Diceros bicornis minor: one gene and its partners. The protein of the gene in region 4 interacts with the protein of the main gene of each other region in a pairwise test. Links are inferred from orthologs where the notes say so. Each region holds a gene or a part of one and is shown on either strand. Other genes may lie near its edges. The genes, in order: MAFK, MAFF, MAFG and NFE2L2.

Region 1 (7,011 bases), on a different chromosome or scaffold from region 4:
TCTGGCCCTGCAGCACCGCCCTGCTCAGGCCCCTGGCTTCTCATCAGGACTCCCATCTCAGTCCCTCACATGCAACCCCCCAGGCAGGCAGAGGGACCCACCGGCTCAGAGTCCCTCCCAATCTCCCCATTCCCTTGGTCGCCTGTCGCCACTCCAGGCCTCTACCTCTGGCTTCTTACAGCCACCCCCCCAATCTGTGCTGGGCTCCCACTCTTCTGTCATCCCCTGCCCAACCCTCGCTTCATCAGAAAGCCCCCCTCCTGCCCTCCCTGTGGCGGGCGGGCACCCTCTCCTGAGAACATATCAAGGGCTGAGCCCAAGACCTGGTCCTGGTCTTTCTGTCTGAGGCCTGCCTCCCTCACTGGATGGAGAGGAGGGGATGCTCTCACCTACACCCGCTCCTCTCAATTCCTGGCAGGTGAAAGGGGCCGCATAAGCAGATGTGTCAGCACTGCACTGAAGGGAGGGGGGCCGGGGGATGGCTTCTACCCCAACACCTTCTGCCTCCGCCTTGCCCAGGACACCCAGACAGCAGGCAGGGCACGGCACTGGCCCCTGGACATGGGGCTCTGCCGTGGCAGGCCAGGCAAGGAACCCTTGGGGCTTGGTTTCCTCATTTAAAATGGGGTCTGCGTGTGTGTGGACCATGTGGCAACTCAGGTTCACTTCTACCTGCTCTAAAATTCTACGATTTTAAGATGACACTTTCAATTTCCTGAAACTGTAAGAAAGAGGAAACATGACAAGCCTGTGACTTATAAAAAGCAAAAGTAAATAGCGGAGCAATGCATCTCCCATTGCAGAGACCGGCGGGCGGGGGGGGGGGGGCCGAGAGGAGGGTGAGTCACTGTTTACTGCTCTGAGGAGCAGCTACACAGAGAACGCTCCCAGCCATTTCCCGTGTGGACTGGACCCTGAATCCAGAAAGTCCACGCCAGAAACCTTTAGACTCAGGCAGTACTTCTTCTAGGTCGCCTGTGATTATAAACAAACTCGCCGGAGTGAAAGCAAGCACGGTGGACAAAGAACAGTCCGGAACACGACCTCGCTCAGCGGCAGCCTGGGTGCCAGAGAAAGGACTGGAACGCAGCAAGCCCCACACTCAGGAAGAGCGACTCCCCCAGTAGCCTCAACTCAACTCCCATTTTTAGCAACCACCTTGAAAGTAAGCGACGCTGAACTTGGACCCAGTCCCTTAAAGTCCAGCTCGGTTCAAGCACAAAAAGCAAATGCGCTCCAGGGAGAAGCCTTGCTTTGTGTTTTTGAGTTAATAAACATTTTATTTTGGAATAAGGAGAGATCCAGTTTTAAGTTTTGAAAGCAGACCCCCCCCCCCTCAAACTTCAACATTCCTCCTGGGTCGCGGAGGGAGGGAAGTGCTCAGGAAGCCTGTCAGCTACCCACAATGCAACAGGTTGCAGGTGCGCCCCACCCACCTGCACAGCCCACCAACTTCCCAGACCCCTCCCACCTGCTTAGACTAACATTTTTTTAAAAAGCACCATCCCCCCCTACAGACATCAGGCTTGGAGACTGGGCTCCAGAGGTGCCACACAGGACACACAGCTACACTTTCTCAAGATACCTGCTCAGTGATCGCTGTGACAGCAAAACCTCACCAATAAAGGGGTCAAGGGAGGGCAGGTGGGCACCCAAGGCACACTCGTGGGCACCCAGTGATTCTGTGTTAGGCATGGGTGTACATCTCGGGAGCTTCCCAAGGTCAGACACCTGGCAAGAGGAGGTGGCTGAGTGTTGGTCAACTGCTGAAGGAATTGTTGGGTGGGACATCCCACTTCTGCCTGAGCTACAAGAGCTGTGTGAAAAGTCAACAAGAGCGTAATCATTAACACAAGACAGAGAGCGCTGGACTTCAGCAAACTCCAACACGGACTGCTCCAGCATGTGTTCTGCGTTGGTGAGAAGACCCCACAACTACTGTGGGAGACAGAGGGCAAAGCGGTCTGCTTTTCCTAGGACAAACCTGGGTCCAGATCCAAATACTCCCGTCCCCTCCGAGGCTCCGGGGAAGGTGCGTGGAAGAGGCAGCCCGAGACATTATCTGTTTCCTGAACTCAGCAGAATCACAGAAGAACCCGCATTTAAAATTAGAAGACATGGAGATGCCCCATTCATAGATGAGAAAAACGAGACGCGGGCCACGGGGGAAGCGACACGTTTGCCCTGCACCTCATCCCACCCAAAGCCTCCACATCAGGGCTCCCTCCGGGAACCCCCGGGCAGATCAGCTGCTCAGAATGTGACCTCGGGCAGGGAGTCCCCTGCTGCTTCCCCTGCCCACCTCCGAGCGGTGTGGCCCATGTCGCGCGCAGTCACGGGTGGAAAGTGGCCGCAGGGCCGGGCAGGACCGCACGCCGGGCCAGCGGAAGCGTCCAGGTGACCGAGGCCGAGTTGGCCTAGCGCGACCACGCGCTCCCCGCGCTCTCCTGCACGTGGCATTTATTTTCGCCCCCGCCTTCCCGCTTCGAGCGGATCCCCGGGGTAAAGGCTGAGCAGGTGGGGGGGGGGGCGGGCGCCGGGCTCCCCACCTGCCTTGCCCTGGAGAGTCCACCGCCTCCAGGCTCGGGCCCTGAGCGGGGGTCGGGAGTCAGGGGCGCTCCCGTTCCCAGAAGAAGGCGACCCGTCTAAGGGCGGGACAAGACCCCCAGCCCGCAGCCGCTCGAGGCAGACACCTGACGGCAAGTGTCCCGCAGTCTCGGGGTCCAACCCAACTCCGCGCGGGTCCGAGGAGCCATGACTCAGCGGCCGGCGGGCCGCGCACCCCAGGCCCCCACCGCGCCCCCGGCCCCACCCCGCCGGCCGCTTCTCACCTGACGTCGCACGGGGGCGCGGGCGCGCGGCGGCTCCTCGCGGGCACGCGCTCTCCTCGCGCTCACTCGCGCTCCCCCTGGGCCGCCGCCTCCGCCGCGCGCTCGGGTTCGGACTTCGCGAAGAACAACAAGTCCCCCCGCCGTCCGCCGCCAGCCCGCCCGCCGGCTCCCAGCATCTGACACCGCTTCCGGGATCGGCGTCGGCGCACGTCACGCCGCCCCGCCCACCGCGTGCCGCCACCGCCCCGCCCACGCGGGGCCCCACCACCCCCGTGAGCTTTCGCCCCGCCCACCAGAGGCCCCGCCCACCGCTCACCGCCCCTCCCTCACAGGCCCGGCCCCCGCCGGCGCAGGCGCACCGAGCGCCTCCCGTCTGCCCCTCCGGCGGCGGGGAAGCAGTCCCCGTGCCCACCTGGGCAGGGCTGTAAGGTTGTACCTGTGCTCCCAGGTGTAGCCCGCCCGCGTGGTGGCAGCCTCGGCGCACACTGAGACTCGCAAGTGGCGGCAGTCATCCTCGTTCATCGCACCGATCCAGGAGCACCCCCATTTCCCCCTGGAGCGCGCCCTCTCGGGGCTCGGGGCGGGGCGCGCTCTTGTCTGCACCCCAAATTCCCAGGCAGGCCCTTGCGTATCCCCTCAGCCTCACCGGAGCCTTCGGGAGACCCCGCCGTCCCCAGCGGTGGTCGCAGCCGAAGCCCGCGTTGGGGAAGGGCTCCCGGGGAGGGGTCTTCGCGGGGAGGGGTCTTCGCAGTGGGGAGCGGCCTCCGCAGGGTGAGTGGGGCTGGAGGTTGCTTTCTGGGGACAGTGCTCCGGACATTATATCCAAGTCTCAGAGTGGCGTGGTTTAATCACAAGAGGAGACCACCTGGCTGCACGCGTCCAAGACACACCACCGTCTGCGGGGCAGGCCAGCCCCACACACGAGGAAAGGGCACCTGGCGTCCCCTCCTGACGGACACCCCCATCTGTCTTTTGAGTTCCCATTTTTGATCAAGAAAGAGTAAAGAGAATGATTTCTGTAGGACAGCAAACAGTGTAAGATGGTGATAAATGGCATTGACCCACAGCCTCAGCGCCCCAGGACCCTGAGGAACAGTGCCCAACGGAAACCCCAGCTGATGGTCGCCCTGTGGAAACAGGCCCAGCAAACGGGGCCCAGAACGGGGATACGACGCCCTGGTCTCAGTTCAGGGCCCGGCGCCTCGGCAGGGGAGCAGCCTCCTCCTGCGCAGGTGGAGGACGAAGCTGGAGAGGTGACCCGTCCAAAGTCACACCGCCGGGCCTGCAGCTGGGCCCAGCACCTCACTCCCCTTCTGCCAGCACTTGGACGGGAGGCTGAGCCCCTTGACCGTGTCTGCATCCCTCTCTGGGAAATAATGAGCTGCCTCAATGGGGCTGCACGTCTCAGTTCTGAATAAGGAGCGAGGGAAATCCGCCAAGGCTCTGGGAGTGACGGCAGGCCTCCCACGGGCGCACACTGCATCTGCTGAGGGGTGTTTGCGGGTCTCAGGCGCCTTTGGGTGTATCCTGGGAAACAAACAGGAAAAAGTGCCAAGAAGCTTGTGGGTCTTCCTTTGGCAGTTAGCAGCACAGCATGGCTCTGTGTTTAGCAAGCGGCTGTGGCTTCTCTCTGCGGAGAACGTGGGCTTCCTTCCAAGCGACCTGCCTCTGTCGGGCGCACTTGCCTTGTGGGACAACCAGGCGTGCTGGTGTTTGCTGATGGCCTCGACAGGAACAGCCGCCAATACACAGATCAGCAGCGGCAGTTGCAAGCTGTCCCATCTCTCCAGGATGTTTTCAGAGTGATTTCCCCCCGGGATTTCAAAGGTGTTTCCCCTTTTTCCTAGCCAACACTCTCTGGCCTTGGGTGCAGAGCTGCAGCCGCCCACTTTGTGGCCCCTCTCTGCAGGACTCCGCCACCGTGGTCGGGGATAATTGAGTTTCCCGTGAGTGTCCTCATTTCCCAAACTTGATTGCAGTCTTTTCACGTTAATATTGGGTTACAGAGAGCACTGTCTAATTACTCTCCTTAACTTCTTGAAAGAAGGGCATTGAGAGGTTGGAATTAGGCAGAAGTGAGAGACGCGGGTCACACTTATGGTGTGACCTTGTGGGGGGTTCTCTTCATTTCACCCCTCTAGTCTTAGTTTCCTCAACTTTAAAATGGGCTTAATAAAATAGAATGAAGATGGGCTTTTTAATAAATGGTGCTGGGACAACGTGATAACCGTTTAGAAAAAAATAAAGTTGGGTCCACAGTCTGTCCACACTGTACACCAGCATTATATGTTTCAAATGGATCAAAGATTTAACATTTTGTGAAAGAAACCATTAGATGATGAGAAAGTTCTGGAGATGGATGGCAGTGACGGCTGCACAGCAATGTGAATTTACTTAATGCCACTGAGCTGTACACTTAAATTGGTTAAAATGGTAAGTTCCATGTCTTGTATGTTTCACCACAATAAAAAAAAATAAATTTAAAAAAACATTAAAATATTTGCAGAAAATATGGGTGACTTCCTTTAAAACTTTGGAATGGGAAAAGGTTTTTCTAATCATGATTAAAAATCCAGAAAAAGACTTAAGGCAAAAATCACCATAAGCAGTTGCAACCCACGTCACGAAGGACCATCTCCCTAATTTACAAAGGGCTCCTAGAAATATGGAAGGAAAAGACGAAAAAGGAGTGAAAGATATGAATAGATCATTCCCAAAAAAAGAAATCTAAGTGACAGAGGAAAAGATGCTCATAATAAGAGAAAAGCACGTTAAAATGACATTGCGATTCCATTTCTCATCTCTCAGAATCCAAAAATCAGACCACATCCTCTGATGGGGATGTGGGAACGGGCCCTCTCATGCTGCTGGTGGGGATGCAGGAGGGGCGTGGAGCAGCCTCTTCCACACTTACCTTGGACCCTACTTGTTCTCAGAGTATACGAGGCTCGTCACTGTGGCATCAGCTGTAAGAGCAAAAGGTGGAAAACCACCAAGTTGTCATCGTTAAGGGACAGGCTAACCAAACTGGGGGACATCACACGATGGAGTACCACGCAGCTGTAAAGACAGGGATGCAGAAGATCCCCGTACTTGGACATGAAGACTTCCGGGGTATGTTGTAAATGTGTGAGCAAAGAGCAGCACTGGTTGTGTGATGTGCTGCCTTTAGGGAGGAGGGGAGGGAGAGGAAAACATGGATTCGTGCTTGTCTGAATCTACAAAAGGAAGACTGGGGGGAAAACAAGAAGCTAATAGAAAGGGCTGCCTTGGAAGTCAGGCGTGGATGGGGCACAGACAGAAACGAAACCTCTTCACGTTGTTTCCTTTCCACTGTTGGACCGTGTAAGTGTATTACCTATTCAAAACTATAAAATTAAGTTGAAATGAAATGAAAGAGAGGGAACCATGCAGGACTCTCGTGAGAGTTCAGTTTCTAAACAGCCGTGAGGACCTGTGCGCCTTGCCTGGTCCCTGGTCGGCCTTGATAGGTGGTCCCTTTTATTGCAGCTTGACGACAGAGGCAGCATGGGTTATGCCAGATAAACTGCCCTCTTTGCCCTGGGAAGAGTCCCTCGACCATCAGGGCCCCAGGACTGGGTGGACCAGGCCCCATCGCCCAGCTGTGTGGAGCTCTTCCTGGGGAAGAGCCTGGGGCACTGCTGGCAGGGGCAGGGTCCACGCTGCCCTGCCCTCCTTCCAGAGAGTTGGAGGTAGGGAGTGCCATGGGGCGAACTCAGGTGGCCCTGGCCAAAGTCCAGGGACAGGGAGGGACACTAAAGGCCCCACGATCCATTACTCTGTGGGGAAGAGGAGAGGCAGGGCAAAGGCTATCTCCAGCCCTGAGGGGGCAGCTGGTCTCCCTGAAGTGGTCCCCAGCAGTTACTACCCCCCAGAGTTCCCATAAACACCCCCAGGCGCCCTAACCCCAGAAAGGTGAGGGGTTGGAACCTTGGATAGGCCAGACTTGGGGACATCCTGCTGCACGTTGCCCCATGGGTGGACAACTACAGCTCTCTAGGAACTGAACCGGGCCAGTATTTAACCCCACGCTCTGTAAGGGGACAGCCATTGCAGGCGGGTGTTTGCTGACTGTGGAAGGAATGACTTGTGCTTCTCTGCATGGCCAGCAGTGCTCTGAGACGCCTTCCCTTGTCCGGCGCTGTCCACCACCGCCCTC
Region 2 (7,755 bases), on a different chromosome or scaffold from region 4:
TCCCTGGGTTCCCAGGCCTTTGTCTCCATGTATTGTGAAGCTCTTCCAGGACATGGACCCAGTGCTCATTCATTCATTCAATCAGTAAACATCCAAGAAGTACCTACTTTGTGCCAGGCTCAAGGCTGGGCCCCGATGACCCAAAGATGAATCACAGCCCCTGCCTTCAAGGGCTTCGCAGACGATCATCAATCCATCTGACAACCTGGCTCAGTGGTCACCTCTTCTGGGAAGCCTTCCTTGATTGCCCTGGCTAAGTCAGAGCCCTGTTCTATACTTGCAAACCACAGTGACCTCCCCCTCATACCACCCATCTCAGCTGTGGTTTTGCACTGAGTTTGGTGGTTCTTCCTTCAATTTTGTCTCCCCTCTGCAACTGTAAGCTCCCAGAGGGCAGGCTCTGGATCTGGTTTGTTCCCCATCTCATCCCTGGCATCTGGCCCATGATGGGCTCCATGGCAATGCAGGCTAAAAGCATCAGGACTGAGGGAGGCACAGGGGCCAAGGGAGCCCACATTGGGTCCCAGGCCACAGTGAAGGCCCAGGGGTGATTCAATGGGAGGTTAAAATTGTCAGTGCCAGCTTTCCATCTGTGCCTGAGTCAACCAGCCACTTCCCCTCGTCCCCTGACCCCTGGCCCAACTCAGGGATGTTTCCTGCCCAGCTTTGAGGCTGGGTCTGCCTGTGTCCCATGCTCCTGTGGCCACCTCCCTTACTCGAACCCCACATATTCCTGGACATCCCTGGCCTCAGCCTGGGGCTGTTGGCTCTGCTTTCTCTCCTACAGTTCCCTTGGAAAATAGGCTGTGTGTGGAGGCTGCCATACCTCCTCCATTTCACCCCCATCCTGCCCTCCCATGTCACCTAGTTCCTGCTGCACATGGGGACACTGAGGTTCCCAGCTGTGGCAGCAGGGCTCACCAGGGCTCAGAAGTTTACAGTTAAGAGATTTCCAGTTCCTCACCCCAGCAAGCTCAGCTCCCTCCCTCCTGGGTGGGAGGAGGGGGAGGGCAGAACAGGACACAGAATCCCTGGCCCCAGCCCACCCCTCAGGCTACTGGGCTAAATGGAAGCTTCCCGCAGAACTGAAGTGAAGGGGGGCTAGGTCAGGGCCCCACCCCTCACCCATTAACCCTTCATACACCAAGGCCACGTGCCCACTGCCTGTGGACCACGCCTGGCCCAGGGTGAGGACCCTGGGTCCTCTGGCTGGCCAGGCCCTCAACTAGCTCCTCAGGTCTGGCGATCGATAGGTCTGTCTGACTAGTCACACCCGTGAACTGAAACCACCAGGAGGGCAGAAACCAGCTCCACCCCATCCTCCTGGTCTCACCCTCCCAGACCCAACAGGTACAACCTCCAGAACCCAGGCCAGCCAGAGCAGCCACCAAGGAGAGGAAGCCTGGGATCGCTTCCTACCTCCCACCTTTGCTGTGGGTTTTCTGGCCCTTCCTGTTCCTCCTGAGACTGAGGGGATGGGCAACCCTGAGGATGAAGAAGAGTGCCCAGGGTCCGCCTCCCCCAGGCGGCCTTCAAACCTAGGGACAAGGACCTGGGCGCCAGCTCACTTTGTTGCCAGACCCACCAGGGTGCTGGGGTGAGGGGTGGCCCCCTCACCTCACCCCCCAGCCCAGCTGGGTCTTTGATGCTTCGCCCCACCCTGTGCTGCAGGCGCCGGCTCTGGGCGCAGGGACAAACACCACAGTCACATGGCCACGGCCCTGGGAAACTCCAGGGAGAGCGGGGGACTGGCCGCAGCTGGCTGGTGAGAAGGGGACAGCCCAGGCGAGAATTCCCGGACCCCGTGTGACCACCGACCGGGTTGCTTCCCTCACTTGGGTCCTTATTCCGCCTTTACTCGTGGGAACACGGCCTCCGAGGTACGCACCGCTAGTACGCAGACCCCAGGGGCTCCACTGGCCTGGGAGCGCGCGGGCAGACACACACACACACACACACACACACACACTCTCTGAGATGCCCAGAGCACGCACACACGGACAAACACACGGACACACACAGACACGCAGACACACACACACACCCTCCAGGGTCTTCACCAGCCTGGGAGCGTGTGGGTGGACACACAAACGGACACACACACTCCAGGGTCTTCACAGGCCTGGGAGTGCGCGGGTGGACACACACACACACTCTGAGATGCCCAAAGCACGCACACATAGACACACACACACACTCCAGGGTCTTCACCAGCCTGGGTGCGCGTGGGTGGACACACACAGACACGCGGACACACACACTCCAGGATCTTCACAGGCCTGAGAGCGCGCGGGTGGACACACACACACACACACACACACACTCTCTCTCTCTCTCTCTCTCTCTCTCTCTCTCTCTCTCGCTCGCTCTCTCGCTCTCTCTCCAAGAGACCCCGCACGCACGCACCGGGCAGGACACCCGGACGCCCGCCAGGGCACACACACGCCCGCCCGCCCTCCGACGTAAACAAACCGCGCACGCACGGCCCGCGGGCTCCGGGCCAGGGACTGTTCTCACCGAGTCACGTACGTGCACACCGCCCCCCGCCCTCCTGGGCGGACTGCCGCTCGCCCGCCTGCGCTGCCCCTTCTGCCCGGCTCCGCTGCCCCGCGGCCCGCGCCCGCATCACCCCCGCACCCCGCCACGCCTGCCTCGGCCCCGTCTCGGTCGCCGGACCTCTGCCCCCAACACCCCCCACCAGCCGTCCAGGCGATGGACACACGGGAGCACCGACGGAGCGGCCCCCGCGCCCCGCCCCAGGGCCTCCCGGGGCGCGCAGACCCTGAGCGTCGGGGCCCCGCGCCCGTCCCCGTCCCGGCCCCGCGACCCTCACCCGCCTCTCGGCCCGCCTCGCCTCGCGCCCCTGGCACGCGCGGGTCCCGCCGCCGTCCGGCTGCTGTCCCGGCCCGCGCTCCGGCCCGTCTCCCCTCCGGTCCCGACCGCAGGTCTCTCGGAGCCGGGCTCCCGGGAGCGCGGCAAGTTTTGTTGTGGGGCGGGCGGCGCGGGGGGCCGCGCCGAGTTGTAAGGCGAGCTTCCCGGAATTACTCACTCACAGGATTCCTTTCATTCATAAAAACCCAGTCATGCGGTGACGTCACCGTTCCGGCCGCCCACCGGCCCGGAGCGGCCTCCCGGATCCGCAGCCCCGCCCCCGGTAGGCCCCGCCCACAGACGGCGCCGCGGAGGTTCTCAGCCCCTTTTCGAGCGCCCGCTGGGTGCGTTCACGTGACACCTCGCGAGAGCCGCGTGGGTGGAGATGTCGTTTGGCTCATTTTACAGACGACAGTCCCGGGCCTCTTCTCCTTCGTCCTACACCCTCTGCCTTGATGATCTCATCCAGTCCCGTGGTTTTAAATGCCATCTATATGCCCATGAGCCCCAAATCTGTATTTCCAGAGCGAACAGCTTCTCTCACTTCCAGACTCCATCCGAGTATCCGCTCCGCGCCTCCCCGTAGGTGCGAGGGGGGGACTGCACACACTCCACGGCCAAAATCCAGCTCCTGATCGTTCACCCTAACTCAGCTCCCGTGCCCAGTCTCCTCTGTCTCAGTTGTTCAAGCCCAAATCTAGGAGCCTCGCGCCGTCGCTCCTTCTGCCTTCCTCCCCTCACCATGAGTCACGCTGGCTCTACCTCCAACACCATGCTGCACTGGACCACTTCCCCCGACCCCCAGTCCTACCGCCTGGTGCAGGCGCCATCAACTTACCCGGACAACGGCAGCAGCCCCCTGATCGCCTCCCCACTTTGCCTCTAAAGGCTTTCTTCACACACCAGGGTTCTCAAAGCAAACACCGGGTTGTTTCACACACTCCCACCCTCTCTCTGGCTTAGCACCCTCTCTGGCTTCCCTTCACATGTAGAATATAAACTATAATCTGCCCTTTGGCCTACAGGGCCCTAAGCCATCTGGCTTCTATCCAACCCTCCAGCCTCACCTCCTACCACTCTTCACCTGTCACCTACTCCTCTTCAGTGACGCTGACCCTCTTATGGTTCCACAAACACACCAAGCTCCTTCCTGCCGCAGGTCCTTTGCACTGGCTGTGTCCTCTTCTGTTCATTGCCTGGCTTTTTCTCATCTGTCAGGTCAGCTCAGATGTCACTGCCTCAGGGAGGCCTTTCCTGACCCCGTGGCTAAAGGAGCCCCCACCTCTGACATTTGTTTTTATATTACCTTAATATCTCCATAGGGTATTATCATGTTTATGTATTTGCTTACTATTTAGTGTCTGTCTTCCCCACCCAGAATGTAAGTTTCATGAGGGTAGACCCTTGTCTACCTCGGTCAGTACTGTATGTCCTGTGCCTAGAACAGTGCTCGGCATGTAGTAAGCCCTCCGTAAATACTCGTGGAGGAAATAAATGAGTAGAGGCTCACAGAGGTAAAGTGACTTTCCAAAGTCACCAGGCTAAGAAGTACAAGAACTGGAATTTGAATCCAGATCTGACTGATTCCTGGTCCAGATGTTTGGAGCTATGCTCAACTAGGTGGGGCCCAGCATAAATGTGAACAATGCGTTCGGTGCTTGGAGCCCCATCCAAAAGAGGTGACTTTGGGGGCACAATGGGGGCAGTTTATTCTCCCTTTCCTTTGCTCATGCTGTTCCACTGCCTGACATGCCTGCCTTCACTCCAAGAGCCATCTCTTGTGAGGCTGTCATCACAGCACCTTCCTGATTTTACTGCGTGGGGCATAGGACCTCCCCAACTAGGAGGTCTTTATGTGGCACCCTGGTCACAGGCAAGGCTCCCCTGCCCTTAATATAATGTAACATGATTTCAGAGTCCTCGTATGCTTTCCTGCCTCTGGGCCTTGGTGCCCCTGGGATTGTAACATCTGTCCCTTAGCTCCCAAAGGCCTTGGGTTTCATATGCAGATTGGCCCCCTAGCTTCCCAGTGACCAAGTGTTGAGGCAGCTCTGTCTACACTCAAACAATCCCCCCTAACATTGCCCGCTTGCCCTACATTTACATCTCTAAGGGAGTCACTCTTGTTACCTCTTGGGATACAAAAGTTCTTGATTTTAGAAACTGCATAATTGTGATTGTTGGACTTCTCTTCCCCCATCTTCTATGAGCTTCTCAAGAGCTGAGGCCATAATAGGTACTCAACTAGTGAATGAGTCCCCAGCAGACCTGCACGACACCCCTGGACGCCTTGCTGCCTCAGTCCTAGGCCTTTGCTCCCATCCCCAGGCTGACGCATTAGGGGGCAGCGCTTCAGCATCCACCCAGCAGGGCCTGCTCCCCACAGACGTGGCTCCCTTTCTGGTCAAGGTCAAGGGACATGGTGTGATGTCATATTTAAAAATGGGAGCTCTCTGACTTGAAGGGGGTTCCTACTGCCCAAATCTGGGACAATTTGAGCATGAAAGGAAGTAACAGTACTGATGGATTATAATCTATTGAATAAGAGAAGATTCCATGAGTCCATACTAATAGGAATGAATAAATAAACAAATAAGGAGAAGGGAAAGGTCCTCCTTATGGTAGAAGGAATGATACAGTTAGAAAATGACCATTAGGCAACCACCACAGTAATAATGGATTCCAATGAGAATCATCAACAGACACAAAAATTTGATGAGAAACATGATATTCACATAGTCTCTAAGTATTGCCCCATAGACAATTATTAATTACAAATGGAAAGACAGTAACTCTACAGTGGAGAAACCTGGCAGATACCACCTTCACTAAGTGATCAAAGTTAATATCACAAATTGGCATGTGTATCTCCTAAATGATACACTGAGAAGGACACAGCATCACTTCTGCAGTATTCCTGCCAAAAACTCATACAATGAATCTAATTGGGAGGAAACATCAGACAAACCTAAACTGAGAGAAATTCTGTAAAACAACTGGACTGCATGCTTGAAAAATGACAAGTTCATGAAAGTCAAAGAAAGACCGGGAACTGGTCCATAATAGAGCAGTCTAAGGAGACACGATGACTGAATACAATGTGTGATCCAGGATTTTCCTTTGTTGTAAGGTCATTATTAAGATAACTGGTAAAATCTGAATACAGTCTGTAGATTAAATAATATCATATTGATATTAATTTCCTGATTTTTATCATTGTTCTGTGGTCATGTAAGAGAATGTCCTTGATTTTAGGAAATGCACACTGGAGTATTTAGAGGTAAAGGGCATCGTGTCTACAATTTACTCTCAAATGGTTCAGAACAAGATGATAGATGGATGGATAGATAGATAGACAGACAGACAGATGGATAGATGGAGGAGTATAAAGAAAAAGTGATAAAATATTAACAATTGGGGAATCTGGGTAAAGAACATACAGAAATCCTCTATCATTCTTGCAATTTTTGTTCTAATAAAAAAACGTTTTTTTTTGTTTTTTCAAGTTAGCCTGTGGGCTGAAATCCTGGCCTTACCCCTCACCAGCTGAGTGACTTAACCTCTCCCTGCCTCCGTCTCCTCTTTCATACACCGGGCTTACTAATAGTGCCTACTTCATAGATTGTGACACAATTTAACGTGTTCACACTTATAAGCATTTGGCACAGTGCCTAGTATTGAATAAAAGATCGATAAATATTGGACTGGGGAGAGATGAGTCATCTCCATTCCTCTAGGACACTCCTGAGAAACCTGCCTCTTCCCTGGGTGAGTGACACAAAACCAGTGATGGCCCCACCCTGCCCAGAGACCCCACCTCCGGCCAACAGGGAGGGGCCTCATCGCCAGTTTCTAGGGAGGGAGCTGCCCTCTGCCAGCGCAGTCCAGCAGAACTCTAATTGGCCCAGCTGGTCCCTGTTCACCTGTCCAGGAGCCCAAAACAACAAACAGCACCCAAGCCTGTCCCCGAGGGACCCTGGCCCACGTCAGGTGCCTTGCCCATTAGTGGGTGCTCAGTAACAGCGACAGGCTTGACCTGAGCCAGGATCTGCAGCTCAGATCTCCCCCCTGGCTGACCAGTGTGGGGCTTTCCTCACTCCCAGCCTCAGTTTCCCCCCCTGCAGTGAGAGTGTAGGATTAGGTCAGTGGTTTTTAAACACTCTCAAACCACAGTAAACCTTCTTCGAATAAAAGTTGACTCTGTGGGCTGGCCCGGTGGCCTAATGGTTGAGTTTGCACACTCCACTTTGGCAGCCCCAGGTTTGCAGATTTGAATCTCGGATGTGGGCCTACGCACCACACATCAAGCCACGCTGTGGCAGCATCCGGTATACAAAATAGAGGAGGATTGGCATGGATGTTAGCTCAGGGCTGATCTTCCTCACCAAAAAAAAAAAAAAAAGAGAGAGATTAGCTGATTAGATTTTTGCTGAGGAAGACTGGCCCTGGGCTAACATCTGTGCCGATCTTCCTCCACTTTATATGGGACGCCGCCACAGCATGGCCTGACAGGCGGTGCATCGGTGAGCTCCCGGGATCGGAACCTGGGCCACCGGCAGCAGAGCTCCAGCACTTAACCGCTATGCCACGGAGCCGGCCCCAGGGCTAATCCTCTTCAGCAAAAAAAAAAAAGTTGACTGCTGTACATCCCACACTGTAGAACAGCTAGAAGCTGGCTGCGGCGGAGGAGACCAGGGCTGGCTTTACGATTTCCTGGAGGCCCTTCCTGCCCTGAGATTTGATTTCCAGGCTCCATGAGCTCCAGTCCCCAGACCCTGGGGCCTTCCCTGGCCCCCTCAGCCAGACAAGTCCCGAATTTTCCGTGGGTCCCTCTGCCGGGTGGAAGTGATGTCAAAGGCATCCCTTTCAGCACCTTTAGGAACC
Region 3 (7,633 bases), on a different chromosome or scaffold from region 4:
CCAGAGGCACCTCCCCACAGACAGGCCACCCGGGGCTCTCAGGCAGGCCCTGAGGCTCCAGCCGCATGATTCTTCCAGAGCAGAAGATGGGGCAGACCAGAGCTGGAGATCAGAAGGTCCTCACGGACCCACACCCACCCTGGGAGTCAGGCCCTCGCAGCGGAGCTGCAGGGGCTCCCCCAGCCTTGACCCCAAGTCGGGGTGCAGGGACACTGCCCTGTGTCCTACCACTGTCAGCCCAAAGGAAAAGCCCTGACACCAGCTTTTCCCACCTGCCATCCTTCTTCCACCCCTGAATGCTGAGCACAATGGTGACTTCCTGAAGAGATCACAAGAAAAGTGCCAAGTGTGGCGGCTGGGAGCGGAAAAGTGCCTCCTCGACAGATTTCACCCTCCATAGAAGGCCTGAACTCAGCACAAGCACAGCCAATCGCCTCCTAATCAAAGGTGGGTGGTGGGGGAGGGGCAGGTCTCAGCAAAGCCAGCTTCCTGGCCTCTGCTGCCCACCTGGGGACACACACTGATGGGACAGAGATAGCCTCTGGGGATGGGCTAGGAGTGATGGCTCAGGGCATCTTTAGAAGCCAGATGGAGGGGATCCGAGGCCGGATCAAGGAGAAACTGCCCCCACACCCACCAGCCCTCCTCCCTGCTCTGCTTCCCCAGAGGCTGAGCCCACCTCATGGAGAAGGAACGGAGGGTCCCAAGGGCCCCAATCCACCAAGGTACCCTGGGCCTCCCACTCAGGCTCAGAGCCAGCCAGGAAGGGGAAAGAGGTTTGGGCAGCTCCATCCCCTTCCCCTGGACCCAACTCCAGGGCATGGGCACTAGGCAGGAGGCAAGCCAGCGACCCCTGCTCCTTCTCCTGGCCTGCAAACCCCGTGGCACTAGGCAGGAGGCAAGCCAGCCACCCCTGCTCCTTCTCCTGGCCTGCAAACCCCGTGGCCAAACCTCCTAGGCAGATGTGGCCTTGGGCACTCTGGTACTCAACCTAACCCGGCCTCACTCCCACCTCCTCCAGAAGCCCTCAGCCACTGAAAGCCACTCTGAAAAAGTCTACAACTTCATTTCCACTAAAGCATAAGTAAATAAGAAGATTTAGGGCTAAGTGTGAATGTGTATGGGGGGGGCATCCCTGGGGACACACCCCAAGGCCAACCTAAGCTAACCATGACCCCTGGGCAAGACGGGTCAGTTCTGGTCTAGACAAAACACTCTCATCCCTGGAGGCCAGGAACCACCCATACACCCAGGAAAGGTGGCTCTGGCCACATTACCCTTGGGTTGTCACTCCCCAAGAGTCCTCAACACCCATCAGGGCCATGTTTTTCATTAACCTCCTCAACGCTGAGCCCCAACTTCAGGTGGGACAACTTTGGGGTGACTGAGAACTGCATTCTTCCACTCTATGCCATCCACACCAGCCCACCTACCGTGCTCTGAAGGCTAGGCACCCTTGAAGCTACCACTGCCTGCAGCCTCAACCCAGAGCCTAAGGCCTGGCTGCGAAGGAGGGCTGGGCCTGCTCACCACTTTGCTCCCCAGGCGTCTAAGTCCTGCTGCTTCCTCTCATTTGCAATTTCCTGGTGGAGCTGCCCCTGCTTGCCCCCTGCCCTGTCCACCGTCACTCAGGGCTCAAGTACAGGCACTTCTCTTTCTCCCACTGCCTCTCTCTCTGGCCAGGGTGTATCCCTATTCTCCCTGCCCAAGGGCTGCCCAGCTTGGCCAACCAGACTCGTCACAGGGAAAGCCTGCTTCCCAGCCCAGCAAGCACGGCCCCCCTAAGCTCCTCCCCTCCTGTAACTCAGAGAACTATTTCCCAGTTTGGAGAACTGTCCCAGATGCGGGTGCAGGACCAGCTGCCAGAGAGTAGCATGCCTGGGAGAGGCCAGACAGGCCAGACACTTCACCTTCCAGACCAGGAGATAAGCTGCAAGGTGGCCCCTCCACTTCCTCCTCACGGCCCTACCCTCAACTCGCTCATCAGCCCAAACTTAAACAGGCGCCCCAGCCCCTGGGCCGGGCTTATTCCCCACATCCCCACGGTTTCCCTCCTACTCCTCGTTTCCCGACCTTTCAGGCCCTGAAGCCCCTAGCTCAAATCCCCCCAGGCATCAACATGAGCATCGAGTGACCTCATGCTGATGACTCAGCAAGTCTCCCTCTGGGTTCTGGCACGCGGGTGAGGGGGCGAAACCGACGGAGCAGGGTCTTCTCAGCCCTGCCACGTGCCACCTCTCTCCCCCGGCCCGCCAAGGACCCCTCGCCCGGGAGGCGATGACACGGACACCTGATGAATCAGCAGCTCCAGCCGGGGCCGCCGTGCTCTTCCGCGGAGCCCCGAGCGTCCCGCTCGACCCCACCCTTTCCTCCCGCCACCCCGGCCGCCCCTCCCTCCAGGGCGCGGTAGGTTCTACCGAGCCAGTCCCGCACACGCCCCGCCCCGAGCTCCGCCGGCTCCTGCGGCCCACCCCCAGCACCCAAGGAGCAGGAGCCAAGAGCTGCTTCCCCGGTGGGGAAGTCGAGGCACGGGCCGCCAGGAGGGTGCGGGCAGACCCGAAGCCAGGAGCGCCCAGCCCGCGCCGCCCCGGTCCACCAGGAGGAGCCGCGGCCCCGCCGTGCCCCCGGGCCCGGAGCCCCCGCCCGCCCCGCACGCCCCCCGCCCGACCCCGCCGGCCCGGCCTGGGCCCGCCGCCGTCTCACCCACCACACTGCAGGCCCGGGCGGGCCGAGGCCGGGGCGGGGCGGGGGGCTCTCCGAGGCCGCGCGGGGGCTCCGGGCCCAGGGGGCGGGGGGGGGGGGCGTGCTCGCCGCCTGCGTGGGCCGGGCCGAGCGCGCTGGGAAGGCCGGGCCGGACCAGGCTTGGGATCCGCCGCCGCCGCCGCCGCCGCCGCCGCCGCCGCTCCACAGACGTCACATGATGTTTGGTCACGTGGGCTCCATTCATGAAGCGGCGACGCGACCGTCCGGGGCTTAAAGGGGAAGGTGCGGCGGCAGCGGCGGCAGCGGCGGCTGAAGCGGCCGCAGCGGCGGCGGCGGAGCGCTCCTGTACTGCGCCTGCGCGCCCAGCGCCGTCGCCCCGACAACGCGCGCGCCCCGCCCTGCCCGAGCGGGGTCTCGCGGGACTGGCGCGGACGCGCGCTCCCCCGCCGGCCACGCCCACCCTTAACCTGCTACACTGCCCCCCACCCCCCCACCCCGCTTCCACAGCGGGAGCCGCGGGTCCTGCCCAGGCGCCTTCCTTACCCTGGTGTGCACACACTTTCACTGGCCACGTCCAGGGGGCGGGTGCGGACCCGCGGTCCCCGGGCATTACCTGGTGTTTCTGATGCCGCACGGCAGGCTCTACATGTATTATTACCTCGCGTAATTGGAGAGCTCTCCTCAGCCATGCCAGGAACAGTGGCCTGGTTCACAGACAAGCAACAGGCGCGGAGAGGTGACAGGCTTGTCCAAGATTCAAACTTAGGTCCGTTCAGGCCACCTCCAGGATCCTCCCAGTAGTGTGATTAGTGTGGTCCGTTTTCACCCGACACCCGGAGAACTCACATAAGTGAGAAGGACTGTGTCTGGACCGTGTCTGGCTCAGAGCAGGTGCGCCTGTAAACATCTGTTAAATTAATAGTTGATGTAGGAACTGTACCTTGCCTTTCCTTTTTCATCAACATCTGTCTGGAACTCAGTTCACGTATCCATGTCTGCTCCTGCCCTTTCTGTAAGGAGTTCTCACTGCTGTTCAAAATTCCCAGAGAAAGACCATGAAGGGGTAGAAGGGAAATCGGAGGGCTCCAACTTCCACTTCCAATTCTGGACTGCTGCTCAGGTGTAAAGCCAGGAAGGGTGACCCACCCTGCCAGGCAGATCAATGGAACCCAGGTGAGCTGACAGAGGAGGCACCCGCTGTGGGGTCCTTGTGAGAATGCAGTGCCACTGAATGAATGAGGAAGGCCAACCAAGGAAGCCTCTGAAGCCAGGGAGCATAAAGCCATCACAAGCATCACCTGCCAGACTCCAGGAACTTCTCTGAACACACAGCTCCTTGTCACTCTCTACTTTGTAGGGTTGCTTGTGGTTCTCGTATCATCCCATGCTCTTTAGGGCAGGGCACATCCCCCTACACTGGGTATAGCCCGAGTGTCACATACTTAGGGCCTTCATGTACCTGTGACATGACTTCTAAAGCCCTCAACTCTTTTTTTTTTTTTTTTATGAGGAAGATCAGCCCTGAGCTAACATCCATGCCAATCCTCCTCTTTTTGCTGAGGAAGACCGGCCCTGAGCTAACATCTATTGCCAATCCTCCTCCTTTTTTTTTTTTCCCTTTTTCTCCCCAAAGCCCCAGTAGATAGTTGTATGTCATAGGTGCACATCCTTCTAGTTGCTGTATGTGGGATGCGGCCTCAGCATGGCCAGACAAGTGGTGCATTGGTGCACGCCCGGGATCTGAACCCGGGCCACCAATAGCAGAGCATGCGCACTTAACCTCTAAGCCACCGGGCCGGCCCCTCAACTCTTTTTTTTTGGGTGAGGAAGATTGGCCCTGAGCTAACATCTGTTGCCAATCTTCCTCTTTTTTTTTGCTTGAGGAATATTAGCCCTGAGCTGATATCTGTGCCCATCTTCCTCTATTTTGTATGTGGGTCACCGCCTCAGCATGGCTGACAAGCCCGCCCGGGTCCACAGCTGGGATCTGAACCTGTGAACCTGGGCCACCAAAGCAGAGTGCACCGAACTTAACCATTACACCACGGGCTGGCCCAGCCCTCAACTCGTAATGTACACAAGAGCAAAGATTTGCCACTGAGGCCAAGGATGCAGTCCTATTGGCTCTGTCTCCTCTAGCTTCTTCACCACCAGGTGCCGGCTCCGTTCTCCTGGTCTTGCTCAGTAGCTGTGTGGACTTCGAGCTATCGCTGGGCTGCGGGAGTACAGCAGGCCCCATCTGTTGACATGGGGCCACCTAGGTCAAGCTGGAACCATGGTGCCATCAGGAAACACTGATAACCAAGTGATTTGGCCCTGGGGCTGGGGGCTACCACAGGTGGACACTCACTGGCTAATCCTCACTCACTTTCCTGTACCCCTGACTCCTCAATCCTCACAGGATGGAGTCTGGCTGCCATTTACACATGAGAGGTAACTGAGAGGCCAATTTATGAATCATCTGCTGCTCTGCTCCTTCTCCCTGAGGGACCTCCTACTCTCGGGAGCAAGGAATTTCCCTCCCCGCTCCTTCTCTCTCCTGGGAACAGACACAGCCAGGAGCTGCTGACCCATTTGTTCTGGAGCTTGAGCTCAGCTTGCACAGGGGCCATGGGATAGGTGTCAGCCTGGCACAGGAAAGGACTGGCAGAGGTGGGCAGGGTAAGAGCCTCAGCCAGGCAGGCAAGAGCCTAAGGCAAGTTTCCAATTAGGAAACTGAGGCAGGAGCTGGATCAAGCAGAGGGAGCTGGCTCTTCCACCAGGTTTACCCAGCCCATTGGGCCAAGCACAGTAAGATTCACTCCAGCCTCTACCCCACTTAGGGGGTCCAGGCCATGGGAGGTGTCAGAGCTGGTAGTGATGGGCCAGGAAGGCACTGCCAAGCTGACCCTAGCCCAGTGAGGCTCCTGCAGTGGCTTTTCTGGAGCCACATTTTTCTGCGGCTTTCTGAGAAGGCACATTGTAATGCTTCTCAGCTGGCATTGGGGGGCCCCGGCCCCCAGAGCCCATCTCCCTCTTGGCCTGCTCTGGATCCATGTAAAACACCTTCCTGCTCTGCTCAGGTCTGTGCTCACACTTTCAGTGGCTTCTGTGGTGTCTCTCCCTGCAGAACGCTCTGGGCCTCGTAGGCCGCCTCAACCCTTTCGGCAGCCTTTGGCCTGCCTGAGTCACAGCCCTCCCTCAGGCCCCATCTGACTCTGTTGCTGCCCCAGCTCTGGCCTGTGGCTTAATCGGAACCACAGCGAGAATGCTCATGGGTCCTGCCTGCTGAAATCCGGCGTCTTCTTCACGGGCCGGCACCAAGCCCCGCTGCAAAGCCTGTCTGGACTCCTGTTCTTCTTCCAAGGCTGTGACATGCCTCTCCCCCACTTTAGAGTCACCTGGTCGCCTCTCTCTGACCCTCAGACCTGGTGCGTGTGGCAGGAGCAGCACACCCCCCCATCTTCTTTTTTTTTGGGGGGAGTGACCAGGACTCTCCAGGCTACCCTGACAGGGACGAGGAACGCAGTCTTGCCCTTCATTTATCTCTTGTGCATTTTCTTCCGTTTTTCCTGTCTCCTTTTTCCCCTTAGATTTGGAGGCTGTACCTTTGTCCCCAAAGTGCCCCTTCCACCCACCCCACGTGCCCCAGGCCTTGGTTCTAAGTGGGCCCAGAGGAAGGAGAACTGGAGATGAGACCCTGCAATGTGGTTCCTCGAAAACTTCTGCCCAGCTCTCCTGATCCCCTCCTCTGCTCCTTGGGGGGAACCACTGCTTCGCCTGGGGCTCCCCCCACACAGCCCACAGACACCCAGCCCAGCTCCCCTAACATACTTGAGCGTGTGTGTGTGTGTGTGTGTGTGTGTGTGTGTGTCCCAACCTCTGGAAACAAGGAGCCTCATCTTACTGTCTGCATGCTTGGTAACTGTTTGTTGATTGAACCAATGTGAGCACTCCTGGCCCCAGAAAGGGTTCTGACCCTCAGTAGCTCCTCTGATCTTATGGGCCTCCAGTGATGGTTAATTCTATATGTCAACTTGACTGGGCCATAGGGTGCCCAGATGTTTGGTCAAATATTCTGGCTACTTCTGTGAGAGTGTTTTTGCACAAGATTATTTTAATCAATAAAGCAGACTGCTCCCCATAATGTGGGTGGGCCTCATCCAGTCAGTTGAAGGCCCCAATAGAACAAAGACAGCCCCTCCCAGAGTAAGAGAGAATTGTCTAGCAGACTGCCTTCCGGCATCACCTATAACTGCCTCTCCCTGCCTGATGGCCTCTGAACTGGAACATCAGCTCTCTGTAGGTCCAGCCTGTACATGGACTTGCTAACCTCAACTGCATGAGCCAATTCTTTATTCTTTATAATAAATCTCTTTTTCTCTATATTTATCTTATTTTATATATATAAACCATTTCTTATTGGCTCTGTTTCTCTGGAGAACTCTAATACACCCCCAAGGGGGCTCCTTCCTCATGTGACCCTGGCCCCGCCTGGGTGAGATGAGGAGACATTTCCCCCACCAAGCCAGGAGGCTTGGAGGATGCAGAGGCTGGTGCCCCTCCCACAGCAGGGCACGCCAAGCCCAGCTTATGGTACCAGCTTCCATCCTGCCTCTAGTGACTGAGGCCAAAGGGCTGCACCCTTCCCCGGAAGCTCCTTCCCCCTCTGCTCACTGGGATGCTCAGCCCCCCCCCCACCCCCGGCAGCCTGGCTGTTACACTGGACAACAGTTCTCTGGCCAGGGGATGGCCTCCCTCCACATGTGGTGACAACATTAGAAGTCAGGGCACTGGGGCTGGAAACCAGTTTATTTAACGTAAAAGGTCAGGGAGAAAAGTGACAGCATCTGTGGGTTGGGTTAGGAATGGGAGACAGTGGACTGAGTGTGCCAGTCACCTCAGAAGTTCAACCATCTGAGGAGCCCTTGTCTTGAATGTCAAATGGTGG
Region 4 (7,298 bases):
AAACTGGAGCTAATAGTATTTCCCACAGGGTTACTGTGAAATTACGCATGTGAAGCAATTATCGCAATGCCTGGCACGCAAGGAAGTGCCCAATAACTCATCTATCATTGTCATAGTGCCAAATTCTTCCTGCACCCAAGCGTTTACATGGAAAAGTTACCCCAGATCGAGGAAATATTATTTATGCAAAACCCCCTTTAAATGCGTTCAGCCAGTAGCGAGGAAATTCCCAGGAAAAAAAATGTGCTTATTGTCCACAGAGAATTCCTTTTCTCATGCAGCTCTGTAAGTATAATTCATCCTGAATAAAAATAAATATTAAGAAAAATAATGTATTTGGCTTTCAACTCTTCCCGGTAATCCTAAAGAAAGACACTTGCTTTTTCCAGCATTCTTTATAAAAACCCAAGTTAACAAGAAAGATTCCAAAATGGACCAAGTTATTTTTAATGCAGAAAGATTGATGTGAGTTGTGTATTTATCCTCCTGCATGCCACTTCCATGATCTCTCAAGAGATTCTTCACCTATCTAAAAAGTCAAGTTGTTCTTTGCTTAACATTCATTCAGGAGATGAGAGGCCTGTCCTATTTTTCTTTTAAAAATAATCTTATCAGTCTATTGCCAAGATCAACTTCATCCCTCCTATACGAAAGTACTCTTTTCTTGAAAAGAGTAATGGATGGTTGCTTCCACCTAATGGAAATACAGAATTGAAGACTCTCCTTCCTGCCCTGTTCGTTATAAACCTCCTCTGCACAGAAGACGAAAAACTGAATGATACTCCTATCTTACACCTGGAGTTTCCTGAAAAAAGGTCAGAATCCACTTCTGACTCTTTGTTCAAATCTTTCTGGACTACAAACAGTGATTTAATATGAATCATAGTTATACACATGAAATTGATTCTAAATTTTACTTCATTTTCTTTTTTCATAGTCTTCAAATATGCATATTGATGTCCGATTACAAAGGCGGAAAGGCAGTTACCTCATCAAACATAACTGGAAAATTCATATTTAAAAGAGAAAGCAGTACATGTGCTTTACGCATTTTTGTATATAGAATGTTAAATTACATAGTAAAGAAAGAAAAAAATAAAAAATAGAGGGCTCTAGGCTACAATTCCTGAATTTAGGAAAACTAAAGTCCATTAGCATCATATATCTTTTGGTCATACAGATTACTATGTAAATGGCTATATAGATTACTTTTGAACAGCAGCTAAATAGAAAACACAATTTACTTTTTCATAGTAGTGGGAAGGCGAGGAATACAATCCTAATCATTACTGGGGGAAAGTTCAAGACAAAAAGCTTTAAAGAAAAAAAACCACAATTAATACATTGTCAGTAACTTAAAACCTTACTTTAGATCTTCAGGATCAGTCTAAAACTTTACATTTAAGAGCACAAACATATTTATTGTATCTATTAAGTTATACATCTCCTTGAACCAAATATTTTTTCCTACGAATCCAAGTACAAAAAAAAAATTTGGAAATATAAATATCTACTCCTTTAAGAGTCTCTACAAAGTATGAACAGAAACTTGTTTTCACTTTTTATAACAATTTACAGAACCTGTTAGCAAAGAACTATGAAACACAAATGTCTCATCCTCTGCCCCTGCAAAAGAAGCAACATGCCAAGAAATCGAGGCAAATTGTCAAACAGAAAAGGAAAATTATATAAAGCACTCAAAGGAGAAATAATATATGAAAGCAAAAAATTACTAACAGCCTAAAAGCAATAGAAATGCTAATGTACACTAGCAACTCTTACCCTTGACAGCAGAGAAGAGAATATCCTGCTTTATACATTTTGGAATTGCAATTCTGAAACGCTAAATCCAAAGACAAAGCCGCCCTGGGGAAAATAGCAATTGCGCAACAGATCAACAGCTCCAACTTGTCCCTTGGCCCCGACGCGGCAAGGTTTGCACGCTATAAAGCAGGAAAGGGCCAACCGAGGGCCGCCGTGACAGCCAACTGGCCACTGTCACGGAGGCCGAGGCCACGCACGCGGCGTGCGCCACCCGGAGGCACCGCGCGGGGATCGAGACGCCCGGGGCGCGGCCGACTCTGACCTCCGAGTCCGCTGCCCCGCCTGCACTTCCCGGCGCGTTGCGAGCGGCCGACCCGGGGTCTACGAGCCCAAACTTTTCCCACCGCACGAGGGAGCGCGCGGGGCTCGGTGCCGCCGCCGCACGTCGGGGTATCGGAGCGAGCTGGGCACTTCAGGACCTCCTCCCTCCCCCACCCTGGGGGTTGGGCTTTCTCTCCCAAGTGCTTAAGAGCGATCGGATGGGGAGACTGATTGATTACTTTGCAAAGAAGCACTCCTGTACGGCCCGGCGGGGTGAAAGCGCCGCACCGCAGCCTGCGCTCCCGGAGCTCATGGGGCCAGGGGGCGACGGCAGAGGAGGGGCTCCGGGTCTCTGCCCGGAGGGGACCTCAGCTCCCCCGAGAGCGGCCCCGTGACTAGGCACATTTTTGCCGACTCCGAGGCGGGGGAGCCGCGCAGCCCCGGAAGGGCCGGGCTGCGCCGGCTCAGACCGCCAGCGTCCGCCCCCTCCTGCCCTGCCGCCCGTGGGACTGCTCGAACTCGGGGGGCTGGCCGGGGCTCCCGCGTCCCAGCTCCGGCGGCCGGGGACACCCCTTCACCCCACGCGCGTGGGCGCAGCCCCCAAAGCCCAACCCAGTCGCCCTCAGGGGCCGCGGGCACACTGTTGGTCGGACCACCCGACCGCGCCCCCCACTCCACTCGCAGCCCCTGGGGTCCCCACTCCCCCTCCCAGCCCGGCCCCGGCGCAAGCGCAGCGGCTCCAGTGCGCGGCCGCTGCAGTACAGGTTCCAGCCATAGACGGGAGGAGAAGCCGGCTGCAGCTGTCCCTCCCGGGCCGCGGCTCCCTCGGTCCCCTGTCCCCGTCCTGGCACTACCGCGGGGCCCGGAGGGCCGGGGCAGCACCTGCTGGGACGGCTGTCCCGGTGGCGGCACCTCCAAGGCCATCATGCTGAGCTGTGGACCGTGCTCTGGGGCTCCCCGACGGCGGCCCTGTCCCGGCTGCCGAGGCGCGGCGCGGACAGGGCGGCACGGGTGGCGGCGGCTCCTCGGGTCTCCCTCTCCGCGACACAACCGGAGTCGCCGGCCGGGCCCTTGCCCTGCTCCGCCTCCCGCCCCCCGAGGGCGGGGCACGAGCCCAGGCCCTTCCTTCCCCCGCTGGCCGCGCGGGCCGAGCTTCCGAAAATCCCCCACCCCCGCCCCGGCTGACGCAAGAAGCTGGCGGTCTGGGGGCGGGGAAGGGCCGCGGGCGCGGGTCCCTGTGGACAGGCGGGCGGGGTGCCGGGAGGAGGGCTGCATTAGCTCTCTGGTCTCCGCTCTGAATTTGCTCTGCCCCGCAAACAAAACCCACGCTCTCCGTCCGCGAGATTAAGAGTTGTTTGCAAGGTCGCTGGGGTTCCGGCGCTTTGAAACAGTTTAAACAGTTGGAACAAACACGCCTGGAGACCCGGCAGAGGCGCTGGTATCGGAGCTGCGCCTCCCTGATTTGGAGTTGCAGAACCTTGCCCCGCTTTATCTCACCCAACCGCCCGGGAGTGGCGCCAGCCCCGGGGGCGGGGGCCGAAGGCTGGGACCCAGGCCGTGCGCACCGCAAACTGGCCTCTCGCCATCGGTCCCCCCCCCGGGGCTGGAGCCAGTGGGACTTGCCCAGGGGAAATGTGGACCGCGCGGGGAGCTCGTGCTCGCAATCACCCTGAACGCCCTCCACTTACTCCTACGCGCTTGCACTCTTACTAGACTCAGGTTGCCAAGGGCAAACGGAGAAGTCTCTTTCGGTCGGAGAGTGGTCAGTATTGCTGGCCAGGAGCTCTCTCTTCCCACCAAGGCGCGCGCACCACACCAGAGATGGCGTCCTTTAACACTGCGATAATGCAACATGCCATAATCTTTGCAAGTTTCTTTTCACGTACGATATAACTTAAAAGATAAAAATGAAAATAAAAAAGATCAAGTTATATAATAGTTTGTATGATATGGACCCGTTTTGTAAAAACATGTGCCTAGAAAAAAAATTGAAAGTTGTTCGCCAAAATATTAATAGTTGTAGAATCATGAATAATTTTTATCTTTCTCTTTGTTACTTTAAGTATGTTTTAAATCTAAAATGACTATGTATTACATTAAAAACAGTTATTTAAAAATTAATTATTGCCCACAGAAAACTTCAAGTACTTGAAAACAGGAATATTGTGACATCTTTCAAGATTTAAAAGAGAATAGATAAATGGTTTTGTTTTGGTTTTTTCTTTTATACATTAACAATCTTCCTCACTCTTTAACAAGTCTGCTTTTCAGTTTCTAGCTTCTTGGAATTATGCAAAACCAGGTGAGTAGACAGTGCCCGCAGTGATTTTACTATTTCATTCAAAAACCTGATGCCAAGGGGAAAAAAAAAAGCCTGACTATAGCAGATCAACGCCCTAAAATCTGCAAAGAACATACTTTCTCTTGGTTGCATAATTTGACACTCCCCGGATTTATCTGTAAATTTATATGTTCAAATATTCCTTGAGGTAAGTGAAGCCTAAATTAATTGCTTGTAATTGAAGCAAGCTTCTTCAACTTGAATTAAACCCTTTCAGATGTTATGTGAAAAGCCGGCAAAATGATCTGCACACTGAAAACAAGTTTAGGGGAAGTTATTTACAATGAATCTGACATGAAACATGCAGAGACATAACGAAATGACATGTCTGCGTCAAAGAAGGGCACAAGAGTATATTCTTAACAATTCAAGTTACTTATTAATACTACTAAATCTGTGAAGGCAGACAATAAGCCCAGGAGGTAGGAGATACTAAAGTCATATATGACATGGTTGCTGCCCTCAAGGAGTTTATAAAGTGTTTGGTATTTCCTTGTTAAGCAACAATTTTCCATTGAGTTTAGATTGAATGAAATAACCTTTACTTTTACAAAACGGCAATTGCTGAAAGTATATTATTTCAGGCACCTGCAGAGTACATATTTTCAAAGGGAGGAGAACAATATGATGAGTCTGAACATGTTTAAGAAAAATAAACACTAAGGAAAAGCTGTTTGGTGTTAAATGGTGGTTCAGCACAAGAAAAGGGAACCCCAGTCTCAGACCACCCATGTCAAGGAGGTTCTCAGTCTTTGCAAACACTGAAATGAGATGGTCTTCATGTGAAAACCTAGGCCTTCCCCTCTAAACCTACATATTGTGCTATGGGGGCACAGATGCTGCACGTTCAGAAGCTCCAGGGGAACAGGAAAGAGGATGCTGATTTTTTTCTCCTGTCCTGGTGCCAGGGGAGTCCTTTTTACTGCTAGGGTCTCCTAGCTACTATTTTATTTTTTCCCCCACTTGGTTTCACATTCTACTAACCCTTGTACATTTCCATTGATGTCTGAATTTTTTGCTGTCTTTGGAAAGACAACCTTCCATATATGCTAGAAATGTGTCAGAATTGTAATACTTTGCTCTAGAATTCTTATAAAAAATGAGCATCATCAAGTAAGCCTTCTGAGTGTGCAAAGTTTGGATAGTGATGCAGTGACCCATTATTTCACCTTCTTCTTGGTGATCTAACGTGCCAAGTTTGAAAGGCCCAAGAAAGTACCACTGTTTCAAAATCCTTCATCACCTTGAGACTTCTTCCCTCTTCTTTTCACTTCCCCTTAATTGTACTCCCTGTTCAAGCCAGAAAATATCCAGACTCTCTTGAAATTAGAGTTGAAATTCTAAATTTGTCCAGCTTACAAGCAGCTAGTTTCCAAAGGTGGCAACCAATGAACCACCCTTCCTGATATTGATGTGCTTGTGTAGTCCCCCCACATTGAATCAAATGACTTGCTTTAACTTATGGAAGGAGGCTGGAAGTGACACTATACCAGGTCTCTGCCTAAGCCTTTAAAAGGCCTGAAAGCTTTTAATTTTATACTCTTAGAAGTCAGCCATCATGTAAGAAGTTTCACTCTTCATGGGAAGACAGCCATGGGGACAACCCTGGGGGATGAGACTCCAAGTGGAGAGATGCTATATGAGCCAAGAAGGCACCAGGCATGTGAGTGAAGAAACCAACTTGGACCTTCCAGCCTACCTAGTCAAGCCCCAGAGGACTCCAGCCCCAGCTGCTTTCTGACTGCAACCATAGATGAGAAACTCCAAGCAAGACCAGTAGAAGACTGCCTGGCTGAGCCCAATCAGTCGAAAGAATTGTGAGAGATTATAATGTTATTTTTAGCCACTAAGTTTTGGGGTGGTTTGTTTCACAGCAATAGATAACGAAAACAGCATATATTGAATACAGAAGGCAAGGTTTCTCCTGGCTGCCTTTTGTTTGTTAATCATCCTTAGGAGCACATATAGGGATGGTACTTTGCAGTTTAACAGATTCTCAAATCCTCAGAAGCAAATTGCCCTCCCTGTGAAGGAGGAAGGTATCTTTCCTATAATATATACTTGTTGCTACATACAAAGTAAATCACCTCATCACAGCATGCATCAGTATCATACTATTAAATAGATGATAGTGAGATATTCTCCTTATCAAAATACACTTAAGGAACACAGATATTTCATCAATTAAGTAGATGGAGGTATAAACACGTACAGAGATTCTGGCCCTGACGTGACCTCATTTATACCAGTTATGTAAGATACTTGCTGAATATCTGCTGAGGGAATTTGAACTTCAGGAGCAGCATGCCCAGTGGATAAACTGAACTCCAGTACAGCAGCATTCAAAATAATTGGGGTATTAATTTCAAAAAAACACCCATAACCTTGGTTCCTTGGTGTGCACACTTCACTATGCAAACTACTGATACAAAGAGCTGTATATCTCCAAAGCCAGTTTTAACTCATAGAGTTTCCTGGTCATAATAGAAACAGTACTCTGCAGGAACTGCAGCGCAGTAAGTAAAGAGAAAAGCTCAGAAGTTTAAGAGTGCTTTTGAATTATATGTGTTGATACCTATATAAATATACCTGCACAGGAAAAAAAGACTGAACATATACACTCCAAAATGTTAACCATAATCATTCTGATTAGATTACTGATAATTTTATTTTTCTCATTTTTGCCTGTCTGTATTTTCCTAAATAAATATGTATTACTTTTATAATGATAAGCAAAAAAAGTGGTGGTGGCGTGTAGTGGTAAGGAAGGAACACTTGCTTTTCTCCCAAGCCACTGGGTCCATTTCATTTTCAATTTGAATTTTAACCACAAGTTTTGAAAATCTTTCCATTCTGCATTTACTAGAGTGGA

Evidence for each region.
Region 1: the proteins of NFE2L2 (region 4) and MAFK interact in binary tests that used the Homo sapiens proteins (3 or more experiments, as listed by UniProt). The link is inferred for Diceros bicornis minor from reciprocal best matches to the Homo sapiens genes NFE2L2 and MAFK.
Region 2: the proteins of NFE2L2 (region 4) and MAFF interact in binary tests that used the Homo sapiens proteins (3 or more experiments, as listed by UniProt). The link is inferred for Diceros bicornis minor from reciprocal best matches to the Homo sapiens genes NFE2L2 and MAFF.
Region 3: the proteins of NFE2L2 (region 4) and MAFG interact in binary tests that used the Homo sapiens proteins (3 or more experiments, as listed by UniProt). The link is inferred for Diceros bicornis minor from reciprocal best matches to the Homo sapiens genes NFE2L2 and MAFG.

What each region holds. Positions count from the first base shown.
Region 1 is NC_080765.1:13,004,494-13,011,504, forward strand, and holds the start of MAFK (transcription factor MafK), read right to left. Parts: upstream 3,002-7,011; 5' UTR 2,832-3,001; intron 1-2,831. UniProt on the Homo sapiens protein: Since they lack a putative transactivation domain, the small Mafs behave as transcriptional repressors when they dimerize among themselves.
Region 2 is NC_080764.1:11,638,857-11,646,611, forward strand, and holds the start of MAFF (transcription factor MafF), read right to left. Parts: upstream 3,018-7,755; 5' UTR 2,834-3,017; intron 1-2,833. UniProt on the Homo sapiens protein: Since they lack a putative transactivation domain, the small Mafs behave as transcriptional repressors when they dimerize among themselves.
Region 3 is NC_080757.1:61,254,661-61,262,293, forward strand, and holds the start of MAFG (transcription factor MafG), read right to left. Parts: upstream 3,001-7,633; 5' UTR 2,948-3,000; coding exon 2,708-2,947; intron 1,992-2,707; exon of another isoform or gene 1,398-1,991; coding exon of another isoform or gene 1,338-1,397; intron 881-1,337; exon of another isoform or gene 399-880; coding exon of another isoform or gene 273-398; intron 1-272. UniProt on the Homo sapiens protein: Since they lack a putative transactivation domain, the small Mafs behave as transcriptional repressors when they dimerize among themselves.
Region 4 is NC_080749.1:57,827,183-57,834,480, forward strand, and holds the start of NFE2L2 (nuclear factor erythroid 2-related factor 2), read right to left. Parts: upstream 3,017-7,298; 5' UTR 3,013-3,016; coding exon of another isoform or gene 2,968-3,012; intron 2,000-2,967; exon of another isoform or gene 1,783-1,999; intron 1-1,782.